Linked DNA regions of Alligator mississippiensis. The protein of the gene in region 2 interacts with the protein of the main gene of each other region in a biochemical or structural test. Links are inferred from orthologs where the notes say so. Each region holds a gene or a part of one and is shown on either strand. Other genes may lie near its edges.

Region 1 (7,630 bases), about 82 Mb from region 2:
CATAACCGGTTCTGGTACACCTTATGTCTTTATTACTGCTGTTAACTTGAGAAGAGAATTCTGTCATTTTTAAACTCTGAATTATGTATTATATATTATGTATATTATGTAATACATTTCAATGTGCACAGTGAAAGAAATTTGACTCAAATGCATTTAGATCCACTTTGGTGTAACGTATTTACATGCACATTTAGCTGGCTCAGTGAAACTTTTGCCTGTTATTTCCCCTCTAATTTGTCAGACTCAACACAGCTATAAATACTTATAATACCGTCAAAGGAGGGTGGGGGCAGGGTTGGAGGGGTGTGACATTCTCCTTGTTATTCGTTGCACTATTATTTTCCCTGCACTAAATACTATGTTCTTTTTCAAGGGAATTCAGGGGGTGGAGGGGAATCAACATCATATGCTTTTCAGTTTGCTTTACCCACTAATAAATCTATTATTATTGACCAGATTATCCAATGAGATGGGTGACAGTAGCTCACTGCCTGTTCAACCAACATAAACACATTGCACCCATATAGCAATATCTGCTTTTACAAAATTATACTTTTCAAAACCCTTCCTCATGAAAGAGTACGTCGTTACATGACCCTTCAAAAACATTTCTCAAGACCTACATCAGGCAACGCGATTATGTTCTGGAGCTTTCGGGTGCTAAAACAAGCCAACCTCAAGCATCAATTCTATTCTCAACATGGGCCAAAGAAGCTGCAGTCCTAAAATTTTAATTTTCTTAAAAGCAATGAGGAGGGGGAAATTTAGCTCTTAAACTGAACATAGCATCTCTTTTCCTTCTATCAATTTGTGAACTAAAAAAAACCAACACGTTGCATTCGTGCTCTGGTTTCTGACTGAACTTGAATGCCCTACAGGAATCAAGGACAACTCTTTAATCCTCTCCTAATCGTGCATATGTAATTTACTTATTTTACCCCTGCGCTGACTGTGTTTCAGTGCTATGACCCACCTCTGGAAGCTGTGGATCAGTTTATTAAGCACTTCTGGAACTTTACAAATCAAAGTTCACATCCAATATGGACTTCTTCCTTGCCGACCAAGGATAGCCGATAAACTACCGAGCACCTGTCTTTCTGAAATGTCTCAACAGCTCTATGTTAACTTAATAGTTGTCTGAAACCTTTCCATCACCACCCACAAGACGCATCAGCTCCAGCTAGAAAAGGAAGCCACTTCACAAGAGCATTTCCCCCGCTACAGACGTTGGGAATGTCATTTACAATCAAAAATGTTAAGGGTCACAGTTTATTTTCTAGCTTTTTTTTTTTTGTCACAAAGCTTCCAGAAGTGCATAAGAGGGAAACCAAATGGTCATTCTTCAAGTCACAATATTCCTAGCAACCATCCCTTATATCACATTGGCACCTGACGGGGACCAGAAATACCCCAGTTCATGCACTCTTGGGCCTGAGGGACACAGGAATGGTTTGAGGCATTCACGTTCCAACCTGCAGATCGAAGTCCACACTCCGCCTGCCAGCCACAGAGCGGACCACACCGAAGCTGGGCTGTATCTGGGGACCCTGAAGAAGATGAGCAGCCACAGGCTTGAGGATTCCCAACTGAACTTGGGAAGATGCAAAATAAGTGCTTCTGATGAAGCAAGCCGGGGCTCACGAAGCTAAGGCACCTCTGCTTCAGCAGGTCCACAAGGGGCATCTCTGCTTTGTACCCAACTTCCCCTCCTCTCAGCCTGCCCCTCATGTTATTCACCTCCCCATGGCAGACCCTGACCCCATCATGAACACCCAAGGGGGGTGGCAGGGGCCATCCAGACGGACCACACCTCTCCTTTGGGACTGAACGGCACGAATGAATCTACAACCCTGTCATGAACACCCGAGGGAGATGGCAGGGGCCATCCAGAGGGACCGCACCCCTCCTTTGGGACTGAATGGCACGAATGAATCTACGACCCCGCCATGAACACCCGAGGGAGGTGGCAGGGGCCATCCAGACGGACCACACCTCTCCTTTGGGACTGAACGGCACGAATGAATCTACAACCCTGTCATGAACACCCGAGGGAGATGGCAGGGGCCATCCAGAGGGACCGCACCCCTCCTTTGGGACTGAATGGCACGAATGAATCTACGACCCCGCCACGAACACCCGAGGGAGGTGGCAGGGGCCATTCAGGGCACCTCTCTTTGGGACTGAACGGCACGAATGAATCTACGACCCCGTCACAAACACCCAAGGGAGGTGGCAGCAGGCCGCACCCCTCCTTTGGGACTGAAGGGCACGAATGACCCTAGGGGCACAGCACCTACGGAGAAAGGCGGGTGAGTGAGGAGCAGCCACGCCTGCTCCACACGGGGCTGCGATGGGTGGGAACTTTTCCAAGTCCCGAAAGCAGGTGCAAAGAGTCGGGCCCCGCTTCCCTCTGCACAGCTCGCTTCTTCTCCGGACAAAGCCTCGCCAAGAGGAACTTTCCAAGCCTTCCTCTTCGGCGCCAGCCTGGCTCCCCCCTGCCCGAGGAGGGCGCCGGTCGCGGGCTCACCGTGTCCGCAGGCGCCGCGCTGGATGAGGATGACGGGCGGCTGCCGGAGGCGCTCGGAGCGGCGGCTGGCGGCGCGCAGCTGGCAGGGGTTGCTGTAGGTGACGGCGTCGCTGCCGCACACGGGCTCGCTGCTGGCGCACACGCAGCGCCCGGCCCGCGCCCGCTTGCGCACCGTGGCCGAGGCGGGGGCGCCGGGCGCGCCGGGCGGCGCGAGGCAGCGCAGCCCCTCTCCGCAGGGCAGCTCGCCCGGGCCGTCGCACGGCTCGCCCTCCTGCGCGGCGCACACGCGGCAGCAGCCGCACGGGTCGGGCAAGTCGGCGGCGCAGTGGGCCGGCAGCGCCGGGCACCGCTCGGGCTCGCAGCGCTCGGGGCAGACGGCCGAGCCCGGCGCCGGCAGCAGCGGCAGCAACAGCAGCGGCAGCAGCATCCTGGGCGGCGGGCAGCGAGCGGGCGGGCGGGCGGGCGGCGAGCAGCGCTGCGCCTCGAGCCGGGGAGATGCTCCGGGGCGGCGGGGCGGGGCGGGGCGGCCGCACGGGCAAGCCCCGCCGCGGGGCGGGCGGAGGGCTGGCCGCCTGCGCCTCCGCGCCGCCCCGGCCCGAGCCACGCAAGGGGGCAGGGAGCTGATGTCTTCCCCCAAAACCGACTAAAAGAGAAAAATAAATAAAAAATAAATAAGAAAAAAAAAAACCCCTTTCTTCTTCCAAGCCTCGAATTGAAGACGCGGCTCTGCGACTCGAAACCGAGTTTCCCAAAGCCGCGCCTGAAACCGAAGTGTAACTCGGAGCTGGTTTTCTCATAGGAAACTGTGTTATAAACGGGCTTGAACCAAGCCCGACCCCCTCTTTTCACCCAAAGGAAGCCAAAATGTTGTACTGCAGTCATTGTAGATGAGCGCAGGGAGTCCTCAGGCTTGTGACACGACTCTGCTGAAAACGGCGTCTGAAGTCGAAATGTCCTAATTCGGAGCTGATTTCCCCATAGGAAACAATGTTATAAATGGGGGAGGAACTGGTTCTTGAACCAAGCCCCAACCCCTATTTGCAGCAAAAGTAACCCTGAATTTTGTACTCAAGCCATTATTGATGACTACATTCATGTATTTGCTCAGGGGGCATGAAGTGGGCCTTATGTGATCCGGATTTGGATTCAGCCTGATTTGGGGGACAGTGATTCGATTCACTGATTCGAATATATGTCCCAATTCAATTTGGCCAAATCTGAAGATTCGATGCTGATTCAGAGAATCAGCGATTCAGCTACAGACAGTTTTAAATATTTTTCTATATACCTCGAGGTACCAGAGCGGCTTGTGAACGCTGCGATGCTGGGGCAGAAGGAGCACCCCACAGGAGTGGGGGGGGGGGCCTCCACCATGAACCCGGAAGTGGACTGGAAGTGCTTCTGGTCCACTTGCGGGTCCACCCCACCCCAAATTCCCGTGGGATGCTCCATCCACCCCACCATCTCAGCGTTTATGAGCCACCGGGTACCTTGTGGTATGTAGAAAAAAAAAAACATATGAAGCTATGTCTATGGCCGAATCATCAAATCTCTCCAAATCGATTCGGAGGCTTCCAATTCAATTTGGAGAGTTTAATGGGTCTCCTGATTCAATTCAGATTTAGAGATTTGGCCACCAAATCGGGCCAAATCTCCTCCAAATTGAATCAGCAACCAAAGCTTCGTACAGCCCTGGTATTTCTATTGTGAATAGCAATCATATTGATTTGGAAGGACTTCTTTGAGGTGACTTTGCTGGATTTTCACATGGTTCCTTGTTGGAGTCTTCTCAGGAGTCTTGTCTGCTTTCTTAAAGAAAGTGTCCAAGGAAGTTCGGACAGATGTACTCCAGGGAGATGGGTGACGCAGTGAACTCGTTCACTGGCGTGGCGTCGGATCAAGTGTTGTAAAGTCAAAGCCAACGTCAGAAAGTTGAAACGGTGTTAGTTTATAAACCTTGAAACGTTGTAAATTGAGGACTGCCTGTATATGAAATAGGGTTACTATAACCCTGAAAAAGCTAGTACACAGGCAAGTTTTAATGAAACCATAATTGCAAGCTTTTGGGCACAAACACCCTTCTCCAGGCATCGGAGAAAAGATTGTAAAAGTCTTCCTGGATAGAAATGAAAGTTCATATTTCACAGGAGGGGTGAAGGTGTAGTAAATCTCCTGTTTGAAACAATTTGTTTTAGATGCAGATTAGGCTCAGAGAAAAGTTGGAGTAGTTTAGTTACCTCAAAGTGGTTTGGTGATAAGCAGGATGTAGTCATATTCCCTTAAAACAACCTGGATACCTGACCCCAAGGCAGAAAGCAACTGGGGAATGGCTGCTTGCTGGAGAGAAGGAGCCCCCTTTCCTCTCAGGGGACCCAAACCACTGCCCCCTGCACAGTGATTCTTGCTCCCGGTGGCATCTGCACTCGCTTCCCAAGATAAAGAACAAGGGCTGCAGGGGAGGAGCACTGGGGCTGGGAAGCTCTGCCCTGCACTGTCTTTAGGTTCGTGGCAGCAGCAGAATTGCTTTGTTACTTTTCCAGGGTCAAAAGAAAAAGGGGGGAGACTGGCATTTCCTGTCTGCTTCCATGAGCTGAAGAAAAAAAAAAAAAAAAAAAGCTGAGAACCACCGTCCTGCATTTTTGCCTTGCGGCAATAACAGACTGCGACGGGCAAAACAAGTGCTCTGCTCCCAGCTTAAGATCTCACGGAGGCCTGAGGACACCAGGCAAGGACAGGTCAAAGGCGGACATTAAGAAAAGGGAGCTGGCTGATGACCAGCTGCAGTGGCTCCTCAGCCTCAACCAAGTAACAGCCCAGTTCAAGGAAAAGCATTTTGTGCTCCAAGCACAGAAGGGAAAATTGGAGGAAGGAAAAGGAGAGAAATCCTAGCTGACAGCCTACATTCTCCTGCAAAAAGACCTGCAGCTTCTGCAGCTGGGTTTATGGCTCAAGGATTGGACTCTTAAATCACCTTAAGACCCGTCACTGAGTTGTGGTAGAGATCATCCTCAAATCAGGAGGATTACCCATGAACAGACTTCGGGAGAATGGGGAAGGGGAGCAAGTTTCCACCCAAGGAAAAGCAGGCTTCTCACAGTACTTGTCAGCATCACACCAAACACTAGGCTTTTGCAAGTGCATTTTGTAAGGAGGCAGAAAAAGCCCCACCCCACAGCTGAAAAGCTCAGCATAGATGTACTTCTGAAGGTCTAGACATCCTACTTCCCTCTTAGATGGGGATTTTTACCTGCCTAAATAAAGCACAAGTGTTACAATTCAGGGTTGTTGGCAGGGTTTTGATACTGGCAGGAAAGTAATAATGAGAATTACAGGAGACTGTCACCATTCGCAGGGGGATATGTTCTAGAGATCCCATCCATGAATACTGCACGGCATTCATGAACATTGTGTTCATGAACGGAGCGTGCCCCCAGCAGCTGGGGGGGCAGGGCTGCGCTGGCGGGAGCCCAGCAGTGGCAAGCGCAGAGCTCCCACAGATGCCGCCAGCGTTGTAATGAAGTGTCATCGCACTGCACCGCGAATACTCGAAACCACGAATGCCAAATCTGTAAATAGCAAGGGTTTCCTATAAAAGTTACCTTTAATCACACAAGCTTGCTGAGGTAGGTGTGATACTAATTTTTGACTTTGCACAGCATGACATCCTATTTAAAACTAGCAGTGTGATGGACATAAGTAAATGGATTTTACCTGATCTCTCAAAAAAATGAATAGGTAATCACCACCAAGTGGGGTACTGTAGTGCACCTTACTTGTCAGGATCTGTATTGAGCCAATACAGTTCAACATTTTAATGAAGGACCTGAAAGTAAATATAACATTTGCTGATAACACAAAGATTGGTAGAATGGCAAGCACTCAAGAGGATGGGCAGTCAGGAAGCTCATTCATTTGAATGCATATGCAGGTAACACTAAGGAACAAAGAATGAAGGTCATGCCTACAGAAGAGAGATCCTTGTCAGGATAGTTTGCTATTCTACAGGTATGGCCTGCACTCTTTAGGAGTCAGACTAAAGAAACAATTGAAGGTGAACCCTCAAGCCCTTTGCTGTGACAAAAAAGGCCAATATGTTTCTTGGATGAGTAAGCAGGAAGATAGGGAGGTAATTTCTCACTCTTCTACAGCTCTGATGGGAACGATAGAATAGTGTGCATCTGCCAGGTAGTAACATTGTAGGAGGTGCAGAAAAAAGTCACAGAACTAATTTGAGGTGGAGAAAATGCCTTCAAGTGAAAGACAGCTCAATTCATTTAGCATCTGAAAAGATGGAAGAAGAGGTGTTTTTTTTCACACAATACAGATGCCTTGGGGGAGGGAAGGGGGAAGAACAGGTTCTGAAGGTCTCTAAACTAGCAAAGGGGCTTACCAAGAAAATGGCCAGAAGATATGCATCAAATTAGAAATAAGACACAAATTTCTAACAATGGAGTGATTAATCATCCAATCAAGATTGGATGCAGTTCTGGAAGATAAACTTCAGTCAAATTAAGTTATTGAGGGATAATGGTAAAATGTAAAGGCATGTAATTACCAAATGAGCCAACAATCCCTTTCAGCCATATGATCTAAGAATTTGTACAATAAGATATTGAGTATGGTTTCTCCCAAAAAATTAGGTTCAAATCTGGATAATTTCCATAACAGCTTAGTCCCTATAGACAGAGGGATAGCTAGAAACTTTTAAAAAGATCAACATGCATGACGAATAGGTCCAAGGAGGTGATACTTCCCCTCTATCGGGCGCTGGTCAGACCGCAGTTGGAGTACTGCATGCAATTCTGGGCGCCACACTTCAAGAAGGATGCAGATAACCTGGAGAGGGTCCAGAGAAGGGCAACTCGTATGGTCAAGGGCCTGCAGACCAAGCCCTATGAGGAGAGACTAGAGAAACTGGACCTTTTCAGCCTCCGCAAGAGAAGGTTGAGAGGCGACCTTGTGGCTGCCTATAAGTTCATCACGGGGGCACAGAAGGGTATTGGTGAGTATTTATTCACCAAGGCACCCCCGGGGGTTACAAGAAACAATGGCCACAAGCTAGCAGAGAGCAGATTTAGATTGGACATTAGGAAGAACTTC
Region 2 (7,660 bases):
TCTAAATAGGGTACCACAGCCAAAAGAAAGGAACCTCCTCACTAAAATGTTTCACTGTTCACTAAAATTAAGCCTGGCTGTACAAAGTCCTGACTTCCTCTAATGAGGATCAAGCCCTTAAGTCAGAAGTCTTTGCTAATTTGACACAACAAAAAAATGTTTTGCTGCCGTTGCCTTTGAAATCGAACTTGAGGACCTTGCTGTGGGTGGCTTTGAGACAAGAAACAGCCCTACTAAATAAAAAAAAAATTCAAGCAGACACAGCATGTGGGCTTTGCAGGACTAATAAGTTGGCTGCGCTGAGCTGGAGAAATGTATCAGAGATTGAGAGGGCATAGCCTCTTCCTTTATATTTCCATCGTTATTTTATGTATTATTCAGCAAAGATGCTTGAAAGAGACAGTCAAGCACAAATAGCTTGTGCTCGGCGAAGACGTGTATAATGGGCAAAATAATGAGGTTGAAGTTACCGGGGTTGGTTGTAACTTCACATCGGTTCCGCGGCTGTGTGTTTGTCTAATGAAACAAGAGTTTCAAGAAAAGCACTGCTGCTTTTCATTACTATGGTAATGAAGCCATTCAACTTTGCTTTCAAGTGCTGGCACGCTGTCCCAGCCGGAGCGCAGAACAGCGTTGCGAATCACAGGGGTAGAAGGTGGTGGTGTGAGGGGGGGATCGATCTGCCAGGGAGCTCCCCAGCACTGAAGCGTGCTCCACTTTGGCTCCCGGGGTGCAGTCGTCCCCCTTCCCAGGAGGCAGCTCAGGGCTCCACGCGGGAGCCCCCCAGCTTGCTGTGCCAAACAGGCCCGACTGCGACCACCGGAGAACCAGATTACTAACGTGACAGAACAATGGGGCTGATTTCTCCAGCGGCACCGTACTAACACCTCTGTGCCGTGACTCAGAGAGCAAAGGTTTGAGGAGGCCCATTTGTGGCAAGGATCCCAGGGGGATTTACGTAACTCACATTCCAGAAAAGTCTCTTCCATTTCTTAACTACCTTCCTGCCGTAGCAGGGACCACTTGCTTCCGCTGCCCTGGAGTAACCTCAGCCCATGCAGGGCATGGCTCAGACTCAGGTTTTCAATCACGGCCAGACAGATACTCCGCTGCCGCAGAGGGAACATGCTGACATCCGGCGCAGAAGATGGCAGTCAATCTTGGAGGCAAAACAAAAAGCTATTGACACCATCCATTCTGCAACGTGAGATCCAGCACATGGGTATACCTACCGCCTCTCGAGCTAGTTGGGATGTTAGCAAATGAACTCAGGCCTGCAGAATAAAATGATCCCGGAAGCTATAGGACTGAGTTTTAGAGATGCCAAGCGCAAGGGAGACCTTGCATTTTTGGGTAGGCTACCTGGGAGGCAATAGGCAAGAATGCGCCATTGCATTAGCTCCCTCTCTGCCCTGTTTCTCTCAAACTTCAGAGACCTCCAACCGCCAAATGCAGCAGACAAAAGAACCCAACCCCTGCAGACCAGACGCAGAGCATTGCCCGTGTTGGCACCGCAGCGAGACATTAGACACAAAAACACAGTCTGTCTGTAGGATCAAGCAGAAGTCTCACTCCTGCCAACAGCACTGGGCACGGATGTTCGCTTCTCCCCTCCCATTATTTTTATCGCGTCGTCTGGCTTCACGTGAAGCCTCCCAACTTAAAATTTAAAAAAACAGCCTAAAGCGCCGTCGTGTTTTACTGTGACGCTGTTATCTTGTGGATCTGTGCTGCCTCACCACAATGGGCAGGCCTGAAAGCACTCTGTGATATCAGGCAGGGAGATTGAATCGTTGCAGAATGAGTTCTCACTCTTTTCTCCCACCCTGGTGCGCACACGCATCCTAATGGCTCCAAAAGCTTTACGGCAGATGCTGGTAGCCCGCTGCAGGTGCCCGTCCAGCCCACGGCAGGTGGAGCCCCGTGACCCTGCTGCCAGGCAAGCGGGGTGAAGCATCCAGTCCAAGTCTTGCGAGGTGGCTGGTGAAAAAGCAGCTCTGACCACCCATTCCCCCTCCCAAACCTGCAAGACAGAGGAGTCTCTCTCAAAGAGTCGGGACCAGTCGACCTTAGTGAGAAAGCCTGCGAGCCCAGAGCACGACACTGCCGCGTCCAGGGGCAGCTTGCAAGATGGAAGAAACAGCATCCGGGCTTACGAAAAACCCCACGCGCGGCGACCGTGCCACGAAGAGGCCGATTCGCGTTCGCAGGAACCGGGCAAAGGAGCACGGTGGGACGGCACGGTGGTTGCCCACGCCTGCGCTTTGCCTTGGACGGTTCTGTGGTCTACGGCACCCTTAAGAGGGCAGACGGCATTCAAGTCCCTGAAGACCTCGATCGGAGGCCTGAATTAAGCGGGAGGGGAGAGCGTGCACCCGCGAGCGCCTCCCCGGGGCTTCTAGCCCCCCCGGAGATTCGCGAGACGTGCCCCGGTGCCAGCGCGTGTCCGCGAACACGCTCGGGAGAGGGGGCGGCGGGGGGCACCGCGGGCACGGCGAGACACGATCGCGCCCGAGGCAAGGACGCGACCCACCCCGCAGCAAGCGACTCGGCGCCGCGGGGGCCAGCCCAAACTCCGCTGGACGCGCCCGAGAGCCCGACGGCGGCCCGCGGTCAGGGTAGACGTCCTGCCCTCCGTAAAGGGAAGCGGGCGCCTCGGGGCGCACGCGGTGCTGGGGGCCGGCGACACACGGGCGCGACGCCGCCGTCCCTCCAAAGCCCTCCGGGAAGCGGGTGGGGGGCGGGGGTGAGAGGGGGTGTCCGCAGAGATGCGGGCAGAGGGAAGGGAAGGGAAGGGAAGGACAGGGCACAGCCCCTCCCTCCCGACCCTTTGTCCGCTGCAAACTTTCGCGGCGGGCGCGCGGCTCACCTCGGCGTCCAGCTGCACCAGCTCCTCGGCGGCGGCGGCGGCGGCGGGCCACGGGTCGCCCAGCTGCGCCAGCGGCATCCCGGCGGCGGCGGCGGCGAGCTGCTCGGAGCCGCCGCCCGCTGCCCCCATTGGGCACCGGCCTCCCCCGGCGGGGAGGAGCCCGGCGCCGGCCCCCGCACCTCCATTGGCTGCAGCCGGCTCCGCCCGGCCGGCACGGCGCCGCCCCCCGCCCCGCCCCGCCCCGCCCCCGGCCCCGGCGGAGCAGAGCGCGGCTGCCAGCCCGCCCGCCCTCCCGCCCGGGCGCCCTCGGCCTCGCAAGCTGCCGGGGGAGGGGAGCGGAGGGGAGCGGAGCGGAGGATGCTCGCACGTGGCCCCGCTACCGGCGACTCGCACGGGTCGGACCCGAGCGGGCTCATTCGACCTGGGACTCGTACAAAACCCTCTGGGTTTCTCCTGGCAGCGCTCCCGTCCCGTCGCGGCGCGCCCCGGCAGGCGGTGGGGAAGCGGACCCGCTGCACGCGTGCGTGCCCCCGGCCCCGCGGCACCCCGCGCACACCTGAACTGCTTTGGACCCCTCTCCCACCTGAATTGTTTTAGACTCTTCTCCCATCTGAATTTTTAGACCCCTCTCCAACCTGAACTGCTTTAGACCCCTCTCCTTAGACTGGACATTAGGAAGAACTTCACAGTTCCAGTGGCCAAGGTGTGGAACGGGCTCCCAAGGGAGGTGGTGCTCTCCCCTGCCCTGGGGGTCTTCAAGAGGAGGTTAGATGAGCATCTAGCTGGGGTCATCTAGACCCAGCACTCTTTCCTGCCCATGCAGGGGGTCGGACTCGATGATCTATTGAGGTCCCTTCCGACCCTAACATCTATGAATCTATGAACCTCTCCCATCTGAATTGCTTTGGACGCCAGCCCGTTCTCCCAGCCTCACAGCAGGTTGTTTAAGGCCCAGAGAAGGGCGACGGGGATGATGAGCGGCATGGAGGGGCTTCCCGATGAGGCCAGAGCTGCTCAGTGCGGGAAGGAGAGGCCATGGGGGGGGGGACGACATGACGAGGGTTTACACAAAACTAAATGGCGAAGAGGAAGTCAACGGGGATTTGTTACTGGCTCTCGCTCGCAAGATGAGAACGAGGGGTCGCACGGTAAAACGAGCAGGTCGTCGGTTTAAAATGAACATAAGGAAGTTCGTTTTCCCCCAGCGCATCATTAAAGGCTGGGGGTCGTTGCCACCAGAGGCGGTGGACGCTGAGAGTTCAACCACATTCACAAAGGGACTGGACACATATTTGGGGGTCACTATTGAGCATGAGAGTGAGGGGCACGACCTCCGAATCAGACCCGAAATGCTGGAGGCTGCAAGGGAGAGAGGAACAGGGGGCAAAACCCCTGGTCAGACCCAGGTCGCTCTCCCTTCCAGCCCCCGCTCTCTGCCACAGCAAAGAGGGACCTATGGTCTGTCCCAGTAAACAGCAATTCTTATGCTTTTAGGACAGCTGATTTCCACTGGCATCATGCCCTTTCCACTGAGTTTCTCACCTTGCCCCTAACATACAATCCCCCGCCTACCACAGCACCACACAGCCTTATGCAGTGTAAGGGTCTTCCACCCAGACCGGTCTCCAGAACTGTACAAGTGGGAAGACGGTGGCATACACAATATCCCGACAACAGGCAGAGGTGTGGTGGGACAGAGTTGTGAAAAACCAGCTGCTGAGGAAGTGGGAAGGCTGTGCTTGCTGACAGGTGCTACGGCGGAGGTGGCTTTTGCATGCTACCACTGGGAAGGTGGTGAGAAGGGACAGGGAAGAAGCCAGGGCAAAAGCGATGCGGGGAAGATTTGGAGAGTGCATGTCTGTCATGTAGGATGGACAGATCCATAAAACATTTCAAACAAGGGTGATGTTGCAGAACTGGCCATAACCAGGCTAAACTGAAGGTGCAGCTGGATAGGGTAGGAATAAGGATCAAATGTCGAATAGTGAAAGCAATTAAGTCATTCCAAGTGGTGTCAAGGGAAGTGGTGGACTCCACCTCCTAAAGTTTTGAAATTATGGCTGGGTGCTTCCCAAGAAAGCAACCCAAAACAGAACCCCATACTAGAGAACAAGACAAAGGCTTCATACATAAGTTACAGGTAAAAGTCATTCTCTGACTTATAGAAGAGGTCAGATGAGAAGATCGCAATTGTTTTATTTAGCCCTAAGATCTATGAATGTGTAGACACCTGGCAAGGATAAGCACGTTCAAGGGATACAATTATGAGGGAAGCTGGGACGAAGCCTCATGTTCGCTTGTGCAAGACAGGCAGAGGAAGGAAGACGGATCAAATCAAACTGTCAGCAGATGTATACAGCTAAGGACATTAAACAGACCAGTCTCTCAGCACGTGGCAACACTTCATCCCAACGAAGCTGGTGATAATGCACAGGCATTTACGTGCACCATTTGACTGGTAGCTCCTCAGTGACAGGATCTTTCCTAATATAGATGAAAACGCCTGAACATACAGAGCCCTGGAGTTTTACATTCGAAATCCCCTTGTGGCTTTGGGTGGTTTTAAACATTCTCTTCTTGACACAAAAATTATTGCTTATAGAGGATATTTCCAGAAGCACACAGGGCAGCTAGACACCCGGCACCTACTGAGAGCCAACCGGAGCCTGGTGCTTCTCCTGTGCGTTTACAGAGCTGTTTGCTGCCTTCGCTGCATATACCAACACTGGAGAAGGCCACCAGAAAGCAGGGGTCTGGAGGATTATTGAATGATACGCAGGACAGGTTGGAACTCTGTTTTCCAGTCCCTGTTTTTCATGACATCTCTGTTTTCCAGTCTCTCCATAAAATGGAGAAGGACTTATCTAAAGTTCGTGGGGCTCTAGAGATCTTCAGATGAAAGGTGTTTTAGAAATGCCCTGTTAAATACAATGCGTACTGAGCAGAGCATAGTACTGCACTGCTTCAACACTCGTCTTCTGCGACCCCACCGTTGCATTTCATTATAAAGCTGCTTGTTAAATAAGTATGTTTTAAAAGACAAGCTGCAGATTAGAAGCATATTCATCAACATGGCAGCCAAGAGTATTCTCTTGCTATTTAACAAGCCCAAGCAATGTGCTCAGTTCTGTGCAATGCACAAAGATACAGTTCCTGTCCCAAAGAGCTAACAACCTAAGGCCCCCAGACCCACAATCTATTCAGCCCAAACTAGGAGAGCTAAATCAGCTCAATGCCAAGTGCTTTTTGAAAATCCCACTGTAAATCTTCAAAACACTTCAAAACATAGATTAATGGCCTTTCCAAGTAGCCTTCACAACATCGTATGTGGTCAGTTAGTATCATCTGTTTCACGCATGAGGTCATCTGAAGAAGATAATTCCTCAAAGCCACCCCTTGGGCGATAAACCTGGGAGGCTGAATGAACCAGAATGATATGGGTAAGGGCTTGTTATAGACATCCAGGCTTCATGGCAGTTACTGTGAGAGCAAGCTGTGATGAGTCTCGCGTAGGGTTATTTCATCTAACTCCAGAGCTTTCATTCATGGCCAGAAGTGCAGATAGTGGCCTCCCTATGATAACTCTTCGGCTGGGGCAGAATCAAACCTGCTTTGAATAGCATCAGTTAAGAGACAGCCTCAGTGCTGGACAATCCTTCTGGGTCTTGTCCATTAACCTCCCACTGTGAGCTTGAAAACTGGTCTTATTTTTCTACTACCCCATTCTGAAGCGCTAGAAAAAGAGTCGTGCTGTAAGCAGAGCATCCCATCCACAGCCACGTGCTTACCAATGTTTCCACACATAAAAAAACAAAAACAAACCCTCACTTATTTTTTAACATCTTTCCACTATTTATTAACAGCAAGAGCAAGCTCTGGGTCACAGACTTCACAGCAGTTAGTGACCAGCTGGATTACGGTTATATCCTCAGCTGCTCCAGTTGATTGAGAGGGACCTGATCTCACAGGACCTCTGTGCAGAAGTCAACAAGAGCTGTGCCGCCAAACTGGTGGGAAGCCGGCAAAGCTAATGTCCGATTTTTGTCCTTTGATTTGTTTGCGGGGTCCATGCCGTTTTTTGTATTTCTTTATGTTTCCTTAATTGGCCTGTAATACATGGGCCCATACAGAATAACACCTGGTGTGGCGCGCTCAGGACCCTGAGTAGAACAGAACAGCCATTTCCCAGTTTCACTGTTTCAAACCTACCCGTGTTCATATTTAGGTCTCTTTGAAGTGACCTTTGAGAAGCCCGTCGAGGAGGCACTGCGCACTTCACGGCTCATCCAACTCTGCTGTCAAACCAAAGTGTTAGATTTAATCATAAGGACAGGCTGAGAGGGCATTTCCCACCAGTTGGTGCGCACAGCTCCTACTGACTTCAAAGAGGAGGTCCTGGAAGATCAGGTCCTTCGCAATCCTCTGGAGCAGCTGAGGATATATAACCTTAAGCCAGCTGGTCATTAACTGCTGGGAAGTCTTTGACCCAGAGGTCACTTTTGCTGTTGTAAACAATGGAAAGATGTTAAAAAATAAGCGAGTTTTCTTTTTGTGTGGAAACGTTGGTGAGCATGTGGCTATGGATGGGGTGCTCTGCTTACGGCACAGTCTTTTTCTAGCACTTCAGTGGCACAGCACCCAGTAGGAAAATAAGACAATTTTTCAAGCTCACATTGGGAGGTTAATGGACAATACTCAGAGGGACTGTATTTGAAACACAGAGCAAAGCATATTGTAATTCAACTAGAGAGAGGAGAAAGGAGCCTGCTCCTGCCTCCATCGCCTATTGGC
Region 3 (7,684 bases), on a different chromosome or scaffold from region 2:
TAAAAGGCTCACATAGAGAGATTTTTTTTCTTTTTTAAGGGAAAAATGAAATATAAGTGTCTCAAGTGGGAATGGCTCCAGTCACATTTTCCTCCTGTGTAACAGTTGTGAGAAGAGGAATTCAACTGCAGTCCCCTGCCATCTTCCTAAAACTTTTTTTTTTTTGTTTCGTTTTTATAAACGAACATATGGTAAAGTTTTCGTCAAACTTTAGGCTCCATTCATAACTATGAGTCTGTTCCTACATAAAATGTAGTACTTGTGAGTATCACATAATTCAGCAGCGGCAGCAGCATCTGCCTGGGCGGGACTCCAAATGAAAACATTATTCAAGCTCTTGCCCATATTTTCCATCCAGATAGTTGAATAGTTTCAAGTAACTTAAGAAACCTGGCCCTAATTTTGCTCCATTTAAAAAAGAAAAGTCTACGGAAGTTTTGCTATTGGCTTCAATAGGAGCAGGAACCATCAATATGGTGCTGGCATTGTTAAAATAATGAACCCAACATGCAATAGCTAGTAATATACATAAGGGTACTACAAAGGCAAAGGTAATATATAATGCAATGATATTTGTTGCCTTGTCCTTGTTGGTCTCAAACATAGTTTATCTATCTATATCTATATTTATCTATATCTAGATAGATAGATAGATAGATCAAATACGTATGAGACCAACAAGGCAACAAATATTATTGCATTATATATTACCTTTGCCTTTGTAGTACCCTTATGTATATTACTAGCTATTGCATGTTGGGTTCATTATTTTAACAATGCCAGCACCATATTGATGGTTCCTGCTCCTATTGAAGCCAATAGCAAAACTTCCGTAGACTTTTCTTTTTTAAATGGAGCAAAATTAGGGCCAGGTTTCTTAAGTTACTTGAAACTATTCAACTATCTGGATGGAAAATATGGGCAAGAGCTTGAATAATGTTTTCATTTGGAGTCCCGCCCAGGCAGATGCTGCTGCCGCTGCTGAATCTATAGATTCTCTCTATATATATCTATAGATTCACCAGAGGCACAGCAGCATCCGCCTGGGTGGGACTCCAAATGAACACATTATTTAAGTTCTTGCTCATATTATATATATAGATATATATATACACATGAAGAGAGAGAGAGAGACTATCTGACCTAAGGAATTTACACAGTATAATACTTGAATAGGGCCTTGTCTGAGGAGCCTGACCTGCATACTTCTTGCTGACTAAGCTTCACAAGCAGAGCATTTTTACAATAAAGTAATTTTTATTTCAGAGCAGTGTGGCTGCCCATGAAGCTAACCCAGAATAGTTACTGCAAAATAATTTACTCTGCAATCAAATAGCTTTGCTAGATAATTTCCCCTTTGTAACATGGCCTAAGCTAGGCTTACATTGCTGCCTAGGTTTACTTCAGCAGTTATGGTGGGTCATAAGGTGATGACCTCCATAACCCACAGCTCCCCACTGTTTATCTGTAAACTCTGGAGAGTGATCCCGATCCGGAAAGCTCAGCCACCTCAGTTTGCCAGACTTTTTCTGTAGACCGCTTGGAACTTACCCAGGCATTCAGACTCCAACCTCCAGTTCCACGACTCCATGTGCCTGACTTCTGGCCCTTCTGCTCCCTGTTTCCTCTTTCGTCGGCCTGTATGCAGAGATAAGCAGATTGCAAGCGATTCCTAGGAAAGCGCCATCATCATAAATAAATGCCACTTCACAACTAGGCAGCACAACGTGGAAAGCCTTGGTACAGACTACAGAGCATAACATAGATGGAGAAGCACAGCTCACATGCCTTGTGTTGGTTGAGGGCAACCTTGGATCAACCCTAAATATCAATTAGACATGCAGGGCTTGATCCATCAGTATGGGAAAGGACATGGGAAACTAAAAGGGGGGAAAAATGAAAGAAAGAGTTCCCATTTGCTACAGTGAGCTTTGGCACTGAGGCTTATACTGCCTGTGTGCTCAGAATAGGTAACATATGGACAAAGCCATTCAGGCAAGACGCCCATTGAAAACACTGGGGGGTTTGTCTAATTAAGTAGTTGAGCAATTTTACCACAAGCTGTGGGGCTGAGTTCAAATCCTCGCAAAGGCAGCATTAAATTAAATTAGAATACACTAATTAAAACATAGCCTTACGGACACAGGCTGTGAAAGCCCTCAGGCTGAACTTAAATTATATACGCAGAGTCCTACGTCCCATTGTAATCATCACCTCAATCTTGTAAAAAACAATGTATATGCGTGTGAACTGATGAGGCACATGCATTGCCTCCAGTGGTATTACCTGTACACGCACAGTTAAGCCTTTGCGGGGTAGAAGCCTTAACGGCTGAAATGAAATGAGGGTTACAGAAAGAGCAAAGAAAATTGAAGGCGACAAACTAAAGAACATGCAAATACTGCAAAATGCTCACTAGGTAATGAAATAACAATATACGGATAGGACTGCTTTAGGTCTCAATGTGCTAAAGATTAGTTACAGATAAATAATCGTAACTGTTCAGAAAGGTCTTCTACCATGGCGTAACAGTGACACACCAAAGGTCATCTTGAAGTTGCAGGTCCCAAAAGTCTCTGACTTAACTGGAAGATATGGCTTACTGAGAGAGCCATCAAACCAGAACAGAGATGTGGTAATTGTGTGTGTGTGTGTGTGTGTGTAGCTTATATATATATATATATATATATATATATATACACACACACACACATAAATCTGCTTCCCCATCTACACCAAGTTCATACTTAATTTATAGCTTTCCCACTTCTTCAATAGCTGTCCCAAGATTACAGGCAGCATTCACCAGCTCTTTATTAGTTCCTTCTTAAACGCTGCTAGATGATCTCTGTGCAGAAGCTGCTTTTGAAAACTCTAGCCTTTCCTGGGCCCAATAATTCCTACTGACATTAATGGGACATTAATAGACCCTGCGCACATAGAAAATATATTCTTTTTTCATACAGCAGCAGTAAGCAGGGCAGGGCTCTAGCAAGGAAGGGCAGAGGCTGTACTTCCAGTTAGGGTCTTTATCCTGCTAGGACCTCCAAGCTGGAACCAACCAAGGATGTAGGGATGTGCCCCAAGAAGTGTGTAGGTTGAAGGGGAAAGGATCTAGAAAGACCTTAGTACAAACGGCAACTGGTTTTGGTGTTATTGAGCATGAAGACGGCTAATACAAGCCTCTCTGCTTCAGGACCATAGACTCACAGACAATGAGGGCTGGAAGGGACTGAGGCGGACTCCATCTAAGTTACACGGTTTTCTGTAAGGGGCCTAGTTGAGATTGGTAGCGAACAGAACACACGCTCGCCCTTTGGCGGGGACGGGGGTTAGATCGGGTTCTGCTATTTTAAATCCAATCTATGTTTGCTGAACTTCTGTTCGGGTACAGGTAGAGACTGGTTTTGTGTAATGGACTTCTGTTCTGTTACGGGTGTGGAGCAGTTTTGTGCACCTGACTTCTGCTTCGTTATGGGTATAGACCAGTCTTGTATGCCCAATGTCTGCTCTGTTATGGGTAAAGACTTGTTTTGTGTGCCCAACTTCTGCTCTATTATGGGCATAGACCAGTTTTGTGTGCCCAACTTCTGATCTCTTACGGGTATAGACCAGTTTTGTGTGCCCAACTTCTGATCTCTTACGGGTATAGACCAGTTTTGTGTGCCCAACTTCTGTTCTGTTACGGGTATGTGCACCCAACTTCTGCTCTGTTACGGGTATAGACTGGTTTTGTGCGCCCAACTTTTGCTCTATTATAGGTACAGACCAGTTTTGTATGCTCAACTTCTGCTCTCTTACAGGTATAGACCGGTTGTGCATGCCCAACTTCTGCTCTGTTATGGGTATAGACAAGTGTTGTGCGCCCAACTTTTGTTCTCTGATGGGTATAGACCAGGTTTGCGTGCCCAACTTCTGCTCTCTTGCAGACATAGACCGGCTGTGTGTGCCCAGCTTCCGCTGTTACGGGTACAGACCAGGTTTGTGCACACAACTGTTGCTCCAATACGGGTCTAGACCATCTTTGGGTGCCCACTTTCTGCTCTGAGTAGAGCTCAGCTTTGCATGCCCAACTTCTGCTCTCTTACAGGTACAGACCGGTTATGCGTGCCCAACTTCTGCTCTGTTATGGGTATGTATCACCAACTTTTGCTCTATTATGGGTATAGACCAACTCTGCGTGCCCAACTTCTGCTCTCTTCCAGGCATAGACCAGCTGTGTGCACCCAGCTTCTACTGTTACGGGTACAGACAGGTTTTGTGCGCCCAACTTCTGCTGTCTTAGAGGTATAGCCAGGGTACGCGTGCCCAACTTCTGCTCTGTTATGGGTACGCGTGCCCAACTTCTGCTCTGTTACAGGTATAGACGGGTGTTTGCGCGCCCAACTTTTGCTCTAGACCAGCTTTGTGTGTGCCCACCTTCTGCTCTCTGGCAGGTCCAGACGGGTTGTGCGTGGGCATCTTCTGCAGAGCCCACTTTCCCACCACTTCCCGCGGCGGCAGAAGCGCGACGCCCGTCCGTCCGTCCAGCCGCTGCGGCGCTGCAAGCCGGCGGCTCCCGCGGGACAGCCCCAGCCCGGCTGCAGCTGGCCGAGCCGAGCCGAGCCGAGCCGAGGGGCGAGGGCTGCCGAGTCCCTCCCCCGAGGAGGGAGGGGCGCTGCCTCGGAGCCGGAGCCTCGGCAGCAGCAGCAGCAGCAGCAGCCTCTGCCGCCGCCGTGTCCTGCCCCAGCAGCAGCGGCAGCGGTGCGCCGGCGGGATGGGCTTCGAGCTGGAGCGCTTCGACGGCGACGTGGACCCGGCGCTGCAGTGCGACCTGTGCCACAAGGTGCTGGAGGACCCGCTGACCACGCCGTGCGGCCACGTCTTCTGCGCCGGCTGCGTGCTGCCTTGGGCCGTGCAGCAGGGCAGCTGCCCCGCGCGCTGCCGGCGCCTGTCGGCCAAGGAGCTGCACCACGTCGCGCCGCTCAAGAGCCTCATCCTCAAGCTGGACATCCAGTGCGAGCACCGCGCGCGCGGCTGCCCGGCCGTGGTGCCGCTGCAGCAGCTGGCGGCGCACGTCGAGGCGTGCGGCTTCGCCCCCGCCCGCTGCCGCCACCCGGGCTGCGCCGCCGTGCTGGACCGGCGCGACGTGGAGGCGCACATGCGGGAGCGCTGCGAGGCGCGCGCGGCGGGGCCGTGCGAGCGCGGCTGCGGCTTGGTGCTCACCCACGGCGAGCGCCGCGCCGGCGGGCACTGCTGCGTGACGGCGCTGCAGGGCCACGGCGCCGGGCTGCAGGCGCGCCTGGCCGCGCTCGACAAGGAGCTCAAGAAGGCGGCGCTGCGCGCCGGCAAGCGCGAGCAGGCGCTGCGGGCCCGGCTGGCGGCCGCGCAGCTCGAGCTCCAGGTCACGGCGCTGCGCTACCAGAAGAAGTTCACCGAGTACAGCGCCCGGCTCCGCTCGCTCGGCGCCGCCCGCTGCCTGCCCGCGCCCGACAAGGTGAGACACCCGCCACACGCACCGCGCCAGACGGGACCGCCGCGGCGGCGGGGAGTGTGTGTGTGTGTGTGTGTGCGCGCGTGTGTCTGTGTGTGTGCGTGCGTGCACGGCAGGGAGTGAGAGTACAGTGAGTGTGTGTGTGTGTCCATGTTCATGGTGTGTGCGCGTGCACGACAGGGAGTGAGAGTAGTGTGTGTGTGTGTGTGTGTGTGTGCATGGCAGGGAGTGAGAGTAGAGTGAGTGTGTGTCCATGTTTATGGTGTGTGTGCATGGCAGGGAGTGAGAGTAGTGTGTGTGTGTGTGTCCATGTTCATGGTGTGTGCGTGTGCACGACAGGGAGTGAGAGTAGTGTGTGTGTGTGTGCATGGCAGGGAGTGAGAGTAGAGTGAGTGTGTGTCCATGTTCATGGTGTGTGTGCACCACAGGGAGTGAGAGTAGTGTGTGTGTGTACACGGCAGGGAGTGAGTAGTGTGTGTGCATGTGTCCATGTTCATGGTGTGTGTGTGTGCATGGCAGCAGGGAGAGACACAGATGCTCTGTGTGTGCGTGTGCATGGCAGGAGGGAGAGAGAGTGTGTGTGTGTGTCCATGAGCATAGCAGGCGGAGGGGTGTTGCATAGCAGGGAGTGAATCAGAGAAGTGTGTGTATATGTGTGTGTTCATGGCCATGGCCAAGAGAGTATGTGTGTGTGTGTGTGTGCATGACGGTGGGGGGGCAGTGAGTGTGTGTGTGGCAGGGAGTGGGAGGTGTGTGTGTGTCCATGTGCATGGTGTGTGTGCATGACGGAGTGAGAGTAGTGTGTGTCCATGTGCATGGTGGGGGGGGTGCATGACGGGGAGAGATTGTGTTTGTGTCTGTGTGCCCATGTGCATGGCAGGGGATGTGTGTGTATCCATGTACATGGCAGAGTGACTGTGTGTGTGCATGGCAGGGAGTAACAGTAGTGTGTATGTGTGTGTCCATGTGCACAGCAGAGGGGGCCATGGGGGGGGCGGTTCATGGCAGGGAGAGAGTGTTTTTGTTTGTGGCTGGGTGTGTCCATGTGCCTGGCGGGGTGTGTGCGTGTTTGTGGCAGGGAGCGTGTGCGCATATGTGTGTGTGTGTGTGTGTGCGCGCGGCAGGGAGGGAGAGACGGTTGGGGTGGTGGGGCTCACTTTGTGTTCAGTCACCACATTCCCTAGCAAGCACTTTTCTTCCCTGTGCCCCTTAGGAGGGTCTGGTAAGGGAGCAGGATTTTTTTCGGCTGAGACCTATTTTTCTCCCCCTCCCTCCCCACCCGCAGATGTGTCTGTCAGCTGCGGTCCCAGCCAGCTGGCCGGTTCTGGGCAAAGGGCAAATATTTACAGCTAAGCTGCTCACCACTAACTGAAGAAATAGAACCTGCCCTAGAAAGGAGTTGCCCAGATCCAGGGGGTGAAATGTCCATGTTTCTCTTCGTTATTTTTTTTTCCTTACCTTGTTTTAATGCTTCAAACTCCTGGCATACACATGCGAGTTGGACTTCTTGGACGATTTCCCCCACCGTCTAGCTCGCATGCCTTCTGAGGCTGGTTCATTGTTTTTCCCTCTTGGTGTCTGGGATCTTATGCTTGTCACTGCAAACTGGATGTGCTTATTCGTAACGCAGGGTGCTGTCGGTTGGGCTTTGAGGGAGCTGTACTGCAGGGAGCTCAAGCCTATCTGGGATGTTAACTTCTTGAGAAGTGAGCCTGATTTAAAAAAAACAAACAAACAAAAAATGCATTTTAAATCTGATGCTTAAAGACCAGAATTCAGCGGCTATATTCTCTGTTTCTATGCCTGTATTTCTAAGGGGACCCTCCTTGGGAATTTGAAGTCAGATATGCAGGTCACAATACTTTCCCCCCACTCCTTGTCCCCTCAAGCAGCACAAAAGCATTTTTCAGGATTCAAAATGGCATTGAATCACCAACTTGCTAGGAGTTAGGTGAACCCGAACGGCTCACCAGACGCTTTTTTGTTTTTGATGACCCAGTACTTTCCAAATCCGGCATTCCACGTCCCTAAATCATCCAGAGCAGGCTCTCCAAACCATGGCTTTCTGCAGCATGAGGTCACTTGGATTAGTACCTTACACAACTCGGAGCCCCTCAAACAAGCTACGTGCTATCAGGAGCTTCCTCCTAATGAGGTCTTCATGACGTGGAACGGCTGAGCACGGACTTTCTGCCGCATGTATGCCCAAAC

What was found.
Region 1: the proteins of RPS6KA1 (region 2) and HTRA1 interact in a test that uses a peptide from one of them, tested with the Homo sapiens proteins (2 studies listed by BioGRID and IntAct, with this or other methods). The link is inferred for Alligator mississippiensis from reciprocal best matches to the Homo sapiens genes RPS6KA1 and HTRA1.
Region 3: the proteins of RPS6KA1 (region 2) and PDZRN3 interact in a test that uses a peptide from one of them, tested with the Homo sapiens proteins (2 studies listed by BioGRID and IntAct, with this or other methods). The link is inferred for Alligator mississippiensis from reciprocal best matches to the Homo sapiens genes RPS6KA1 and PDZRN3.

Annotation. Positions count from the first base shown.
Region 1 is NC_081829.1:84,971,874-84,979,503, forward strand, and holds the start of HTRA1 (serine protease HTRA1), read right to left. Parts: upstream 3,012-7,630; 5' UTR 2,958-3,011; coding exon 2,531-2,957; intron 1-2,530. UniProt on the Homo sapiens protein: Serine protease with a variety of targets, including extracellular matrix proteins such as fibronectin. HTRA1-generated fibronectin fragments further induce synovial cells to up-regulate MMP1 and MMP3 production.
Region 2 is NC_081829.1:3,029,589-3,037,248, forward strand, and holds the start of RPS6KA1 (ribosomal protein S6 kinase alpha-1), read right to left. Parts: upstream 3,017-7,660; 5' UTR 2,999-3,016; coding exon 2,870-2,998; intron 1-2,869. UniProt on the Homo sapiens protein: Serine/threonine-protein kinase that acts downstream of ERK (MAPK1/ERK2 and MAPK3/ERK1) signaling and mediates mitogenic and stress-induced activation of the transcription factors CREB1, ETV1/ER81 and NR4A1/NUR77, regulates translation through RPS6 and EIF4B phosphorylation, and mediates cellular proliferation, survival, and differentiation by modulating mTOR signaling and repressing pro-apoptotic function of BAD and DAPK1.
Region 3 is NC_081835.1:8,314,904-8,322,587, reverse strand, and holds the start of PDZRN3 (E3 ubiquitin-protein ligase PDZRN3), read left to right. Parts: upstream 1-4,673; 5' UTR 4,674-4,756; coding exon 4,757-5,476; intron 5,477-6,931; exon of another isoform or gene 6,932-7,181; intron 7,182-7,684. UniProt on the Homo sapiens protein: E3 ubiquitin-protein ligase. Plays an important role in regulating the surface level of MUSK on myotubes. Mediates the ubiquitination of MUSK, promoting its endocytosis and lysosomal degradation. Might contribute to terminal myogenic differentiation.